Caenorhabditis elegans: one gene and its partner. The protein of the gene in region 2 interacts with the protein of the main gene of each other region in a pairwise test. Each region holds a gene or a part of one and is shown on either strand. Other genes may lie near its edges.

Region 1 (3,836 bases), on a different chromosome or scaffold from region 2:
TTCGTTTTCCATTTGGGAAACGATGTGAGCAAGAACTGGTTCTTCTGGAATGGTGTGCATCATTCTCCAAAGAGCAGCCATACGGAGCTCTGGCTTGTTTTGGCGGTTCTTGTAGACTGGAAGGAGAACCTTCTGGATCTTGCGTGGCATAACGTCCTTGAGAAGACGAAGAGCATCTACAGCCTCAGTGCGGATGGAAAGTGGTTGACGTGGATCTTGGATAATCTGGACAAGCTCATAGACGGAGAGGTCGATTCCGGCGTTTCCAAGGGTCTTAAGAGCAAGAACCTTCTCGTATGTGGAGTCAGCGTTACGGAAGTGTTGCATGAAGACGCGAACGTACTTTTCCTTGGTTTGTCTAGATGCTGGGCGGATCAATGGAAGGTCTTGGGTCTTTGAAGCAAATCCACGAACAACAGATCCTGCGGCGAGCCAGGCAGATTGGCGGAGTGGTTCGTACTTCTCAGAGAGTGGCGATTGGGCGAGTTGGATAAGAAGATCAGCAATGTGCTCACTTGGGTAAAGAGTTTCTTGAACAGATTTAAGAAGCTCAGCAGCTCTCAATGGTGTGATGCTCTTCTTCTCGAAGTGATGAATCAAGTGTTGAATGGTGTTCTTGGTTCCAGCGACAGCCAATGTGGTTTCAATGACAAGTTGAACCTAAGAGAGAGCATGATATTAGTGATTATGAAATGTGTATTGGTTACCTTCTTCTCGGCCTTAGTGTAGATGGTGGTGTGAACCTTCTTGAGTTCTTCGATGGTGCACATGCGGAACATGCGGACGGCGCGGGCAATAAGGTGGACAGTTTCTGGGGTGTTCTGCTCGTGCTCTTGAATTTGGCGGAAGATTTCTTGAAGTTGCTCAACCTTCTGCTCCATCTCGATAGCCTTGAATGGGTTGACCTCAGCCTTGTCTCCTTGTTGGTAGAATTGCTCAATAAGCTTCTCGTTTTCCATGGAGTAGACGATCTCCTCCTTTGGTCCAGAAACCTGAAAACTTGTGTGCTGCTGTTAGAGTTAGCTATCAAAAGCCCGTAAAATATATTTTCAAATAGAATACCTTCTTGATCTCTCTGTTGATCTTGCTCTCCTCGACGAAAGTGACCTTGGCGCGAGTCTCAGACTTGACGACCTCTTGTCCATTGACATTCAAAGTGTAAACGGAATGAACCTCAGATTCTTGCAATTTCTCGTTCTTGAAGGTGTAGGTGTAGACAGTTTGTGGCTTAACAAATTGCCCCTCCTTCTCGCATTCCTTGCACTCAGATCCAAAACGAAGACCATAAGCAGTCTCTGGGCGAGTGATGCATTTGTCGAAGTTGACAGATTTGGTGTAGATGGTCTTCTCTCCCTCTTGAACAATGGTGTAAGCGACTTCGCAGTCTCCTTCCATGGTCTTTTCATGAACATTGAAGAAAAGAGAATCCTTGTCGGATTCCATATCTTTCTGATCTTGGTTCATCTCATCAACTGGAGCTGACTTGCGGAGAGAGAAGAGATTGAGAATCGATCTTTTGGCGTTCTTGGACCACTCGGCATCTTCGGAAGAGAATTGGATCTCAGAAATAAGTCCATTTCTGATTTGAGCACGGAATGGAAGCTCAAGAAGCTCCTTGAACTCATCGGAAAGCTCACGTTGCTCCAAAGATTCGATCTTTGGCCATTGCTCAGATTGTGGAATGTGGGAAGCAGAGTATTGAATATCAGTCAATTGAAGATGAATGTAACGATCATCAACAGCTTGAAGACGGGTACGGCAAGAAATCAGGGTTTGGGAAGCATCGGAAGATGCGGTTGGGAGTCCAGAGAGAAGAAGTCCGTCAAATTTGTAGACGTATTCGCTCTTTGGAGAGAAGGTACGGTCAAGAGCCGGTGAGGCGGCAATCGCCAAGGCGACAAGAGAGGCAATGATTATCGACTTCATTGCGAGAGTGACTATGGCTTCTCCGTTACCCTTTTTATAGATGCAACTGAAATTGACACTATTCCTTCAAATCATCCTATCTTAACAGATTTATTCGATAAAGTCAATGTCAATCTGAACTTTTACCGCATTATCAGTTGAAACTGAAGTGCGCATGTCGTTCAGGTAGCGATCAGAGTACAGCTGTCACTCTTCTAATTCAACGTGCATATCGTGGTCGACGTATATGTGACCGTTATAAGTTTTTCTGAATGATTGCTTGAATGAAGTTAAAAATTTTTCTGTAGTTTAAGGATACATAACTATGTAGAGAGAAACCAATGATTGTGTTGAAATAAAAAGTTCAATTCAAAAATAGTATCAAAGGCTCTAAATAAAGACTTTGATAACTAAACAAAGCCAGAGTATTTGAAGTTACATATGTCCCCAGTAGACAGTTTTGCAAATGTCCCAATTTTAGTACCTTTTAAAAACTTTCACCTATAATTTTTTCCCTGTATGCTTACCTTCTAATTTTTCAACCATTTTAATCAAATGACTTACTAGGCTCATTGCAATTCTTCTTAAATTGTGCAAACTTTGATGCAGTTTTGATGTTAAGGAAACTTTTGACAAAAATGTATTTGAAAAGTGATTGTTTTCATTCACAAAAAGGACAACTTCCACAAGTTTTTTTAACCTAATTTTGAATTTTCCAAAACATGGCCAGGACGAAATAAGGCGTTCATGTTTGCGTTTATATTAAGAAAAAATAACCACATGACAGCTTTATAAAATTGAAATAAATATTGTCGTGAAAGAAATCATTGGAAAACGGGATATTAAAATATCAGGCACGTTGACATTGTATTAAATGAGGTTCATTTGAATTTACTTGCAATTCTCAACAAAACCATTTTCTTCTCCAAAGGCCGCCGCGAGTTCAACCATAACATCCTGAAAGTTTACTGATTTACTGGGAAAAAAAATTTAATAAACATTTATATTTTTGCTTTTGAATTTTTGAGTTCCCCACATATGAACAATTGGCAATTCGTCAAAAAAAATCTGAAGGAGTATCTTCATAGGTATCACTGTTTTTAATTTTTGAATAGAACCTACGTATGCATCTTTTTCCTCGACGGTCACCATTTCCGTAGTATCGATGCTGGAAGTCTTGTTGATTTTGAGATTCTGAAAAAATTGATATTTTTCAGATGTAACTGTTGTTTTTAATCCGAATGTTGAGATTCTCGTTTGTACATTAATAATACAATTTTTTTTGACATCCTAATAAAACCGTAGAATTTGGATTGTGGCGAGACCCACTCAATAAAACAGCTTGTGCATTTATCTCAGATGCCAAAAAATTTCAGAATTACGATATTTAATCATGGAAAAGTTGAATCATGTAACATTCTGCGCTATTACCTCGGTTCGTGCTGAGGCTATCGCTCCCGTAGATTTTGCAGCACTGGTTTTCGATTCCATTTTCTGAAAATTTACGGCATGATTAAAAATGAGAATACAAAAATTATTGATCGCTTCTTTCAAAAATCTGGCTGTGGTCGCATAAAATTAGTACAAAAAACTAAGGAAAGAAGGGAAAGGAAAGGACACCCATTGTGGGATGTGCAAATGACTCAGTCGTCCACGAGAAAAATTGTGTTCGTCGAGACCCACCGCAGAGGGCGAAAAGTAAAAGGAGCATTTTAAAATGCGAAAATGGATGAGTCGTACTCTCGATGCCAAAAAGATTTGTGGATATTAGCTGAAACACGAAATAGCTAAATACGATCCGATGGAATATCTTCTGAGCAATAGTGATGAGTCAACGAAATTAATTTGATAAGCAAACACGTTATTAATAAAATTTCAAAATCCTGTTCTATTTGTCATCATCATTTAAGTAACGAAAAATGAAATCTGAC
Region 2 (3,600 bases):
CTCGAAACAAGCGTCTCAACACTCATCAGAAATCTTGCCTTGATGAGCATGCTCGAAAAATGGCTGTTTTCATGATGGAGAGGCAAGAAGAGTACCGTTACTACGAGAACTTGGCCAATCAGGAACAATTCTCCGATGATGCCTGCTTCAGTGACACTGGAATGGACTCCGGATTCTGCAGTGGAGCCACTTCAACTGGACAATCAGCTTCAACTTCTCCTGCTCCAGCCCATCTCATCCCAAATCCATTTTTTGATCCAGAATATGTTGCCAAGGCTCAATCTCCAGTGAAACTCGTTGCCAATCCATTCTACAATCCAGAACTTGTCAAGGAAATCAAGAAGAAATCCCGTGTTTCAGTTTAATATTATTAATTATTTTTATTTATTTTTCCTCAAACAGTTTAGTCGGTTTTTCTGATATCCAGGTTCGGTTTTTATAATTGTACTTTTTCTTGGAAATGATTACAAAATTTCTGTCCGGTATTTTTTCTGTATTGGTTTTCTCAATTTTTAACAACTGTACTTTTACTCAATTGTTTTAATAAATTAATCAGACTAATTAAAAGTTGTTTTTCACTTCAAACGACCACGCTTTCAATACTAATTGAATACAATACATTTCTGAATAAAATTTTTTTGCTAGTTCCACCATCGAAAATTCCAATTACTCCAATTACTTTAAGCTAGTATTTTGTAGCACATTCGTTTTTTTCAAAATTTTCAGATGATTGATTGATTTATTTAACATAACTAATGCAATTTACAACTGTACAATTGAATTTTGAGTGTTAAATAAAACGGTAAAACGAGACTAACCCAGAAAGAGTACGTCTCGAGTTTGGGACGGGAAAGGAGAGAGAGGGTAATGTGGTAGAAGAGATCAGTTAGAAGTCAAAGAGAACCAGCGGATAAAAGTTAATACCGGGGAATATTGAGATCGAGAAAACTTGAAAACTGATAGGGGGAGAGAAATACCGGTATATTTTTGACAAGATTGTTCCAAATAGGAATGGATTTGGCAAAGAAATGAGAGGTGCATGTGTCTTTCCTAACCAGAATCATGGGTCTCCTATTGGAATTAGAGAACTTGACAAACTGAGTTAATTTAGAGAAATGAGTAGAACCGGTAAGAAGTCTATATAATAGTTTCATTTGAGCTTTAATTCTAGTGTGTCTGGTGGAGAATAGTTCCATGATGCACAGTCTGTTTTCGTAAGAGGTGAATTTAACGTTGCACCTTTGCAGGACGCGGTTGGTGAAGGTCCTAAGCGGTTTTTCAAGTATGGCAGAGAGTGAGGAGTTGGGGGAAGGGGAGTAGATCTCAGAGCAATAGTTTATGATGGGGGCAACGTATGTTTTAAATAAGTGGCTATAAGTTAAATAAGTGGCTATAAGTAAATAAGTGGCTATAATTAAATAAGTGGCTATAATTAAATAAGTGGCTATATAATTAAATAAGTGGCTATAATTTAAAAGTTGTTTTTCACTTCAAACGACCACGCTTTCAATACTAATTGAATACAATACATTTCTGAATAAAATTTTTTTGCTAGTTCCACCATCGAAAATTTCCAATTACTCCAATTACTTTAAGCTAGTATTTTGTAGCACATTCGTTTTTTTCAAAATTTTCAGATGATAAACTGCCCAATACTATTGGAAGTTTCTATAGTAGTAACACATTGACTTACTCTTTCCCCGAATACTTCAAAAATGCCTTCAACTGTACCCACCAATGCTCTATCAGTTTACCTATCTCCGAGCCCCCGAGTTCTACTTCTATCCGGCTGTATCCCTGCACAGTGCCTTTTTATGTCTACATCTCACACATTTTAACAGTCTGTCTCCAATATCCAAACACATCCCCCGCCGACGCATTGTGTGCTCTCGTTAGAGCTCCTCCCGCGCTGTAAGCCACTTGAGCAGTTTGTGGATTTTCCCTCTCTTTTCGCATTTTGTCGAAGAAACTTTTCCTCGTGTCGATCAGGTCAATCATCAATCATGGTAAGAGTTTTGTTTTATTGGTAATTTGTAGCTAATTATGTCTATAAATAAATCTGTGAATATGTGCAATTTTGTAGGGAGACGTCGTTGCTGATGCTTTGGAAAAGCTTTCTGCCGATCAGATCGAGCAATTCCGTAAATACTTTAACATGTTCGATAAAGAGGGAAAAGGATATATTCGTGCTACCCAGGTTTGTGGAGTTTTAATTTTGTAGCAAATTGCTGTTCAAATTGGAATTTCTTGAATTTTTCTTAAAATACTCCCAAGAAATTGTTAAACTCTGAAATTCCAGGTCGGACAAATCCTCCGTACCATGGGACAAGCCTTCGAAGAGCGTGACTTGAAACAGCTCATCAAGGAGTTCGATGCTGATGGTATACTTCCCCCACCGGCCATAAATCTACAGTACCAATCCTTTTTCAGGTTCCGGAGAGATTGAGTTCGAAGAGTTCGCCGCTATGGTTGCCAACTTTGTTGTCAACAATGAGAACGACGAAGGACTCGAGGAGGAGCTTCGCGAGGCTTTCCGTCTTTACGACAAAGAAGTATGTTTATTTGCAATTTTGGTTTCTAATATTTTTAGGGAAAATGAAAGGAGAGAAGTAAATCTTGAGAAAAATATGAAAAAAGTCAATACTTTTGTCCTATGTATTTCTTCTATTTGAAATTATGTGAATTCTGAAATTCTTTTTGAAAACTTTGTTTGTTGTAAACTAATAATTTGTTGAATTCTTGAGCATGACCTTTTTTCACGTTGTCAGCTTATATCTCGGTTTTCATTAGTTTAATCAAAAATTGTCAACTGGCAAAGTATGTACAAAATATTTCTCCAAATTCTGATAGTAATTTTTCAAAAATAGAACTAAAGACAACCAAGATAGTAGCCATCAAAGTTGAGTGATGGTTCAAGAGAAAAAATACGGTATGTCATCAATATTTCTTTTACAGTCTGAACCATTGAAATTGAAGAAAATATAATTTTAAAGCCTAAATTTTAACTTTCAGGGAAACGGATATATCAACGTCTCAGATCTTCGTGACATTCTCCGTGCTCTTGACGATAATGTTTCAGAGGAAGAGCTCGACGAAATGATTGCTGAAATTGATGCTGACGGTTCCGGAACTGTCGATTTCGATGAGTTCATGGAAATGATGTCTGGAGAATAATTTTAATTTTTATCCTACCAATGATTTCTGACGGCGCCTTACCATTCACTGACTTCCAATAATTCTTTTTGTAAAAAACAACAAATCTTACATTTTCATGCTTTCAATTTATTTGATAAAAGTTGATAAAAAAAATAAAAGAAATCTCAAAAAAATATTGTAAAAAAATTCCCATGTAGTCGACCCTTTTGATGTTAGAACAAGTAATGATTAAGAATAAAATTTATAAAATAAAATTGATCATCAATTTTCCAAATACGTAGTGTAGTATTCTGTGCTGCTTGCTTGAACTTGACAGATGAAGAGCCAATCATTGGTCTGAGGTGGAGCCCAGAAGAACTGTAACAAGATTTAAGGAAAATATTGAAGTACCGTATCAACGATATAAAAATTCATTTGTTGAAAGATATTGCAAAATTCATGTTG

What was found. The genes of interacting proteins can lie anywhere in the genome.
Region 1: the proteins of tnc-2 (region 2) and vit-5 interact in a two-hybrid assay, tested with the Caenorhabditis elegans proteins (one large-scale study listed by BioGRID).

Annotation. Positions count from the first base shown.
Region 1 is NC_003284.9:3,401,571-3,405,406, reverse strand, and holds the start of vit-5 (Vitellogenin-5), read right to left. Parts: upstream 1,937-3,836; 5' UTR 1,927-1,936; coding exon 1,063-1,926; intron 993-1,062; coding exon 708-992; intron 661-707; coding exon 1-660. Other genes in the region: C04F6.9 (Gag-pol polyprotein), read right to left, coding at 2,797-2,862, 3,028-3,099, 3,337-3,396. UniProt on the Caenorhabditis elegans protein: Precursor of the egg-yolk proteins that are sources of nutrients during embryonic development. Together with other vitellogenins, may play a role in modulating life-span, acting via induction of autophagy and lysosomal lipolysis.
Region 2 is NC_003280.10:10,464,934-10,468,533, forward strand, and holds tnc-2 (Troponin C), read left to right. Parts: upstream 1-1,918; 5' UTR 1,919-2,003; coding exon 2,004-2,006; intron 2,007-2,083; coding exon 2,084-2,197; intron 2,198-2,299; coding exon 2,300-2,381; intron 2,382-2,430; coding exon 2,431-2,552; intron 2,553-3,012; coding exon 3,013-3,174; 3' UTR 3,175-3,417; downstream 3,418-3,600. Other genes in the region: sdz-37 (SKN-1 Dependent Zygotic transcript), read left to right, coding at 1-365; clec-143 (VWFA domain-containing protein), read right to left, coding at 3,418-3,513.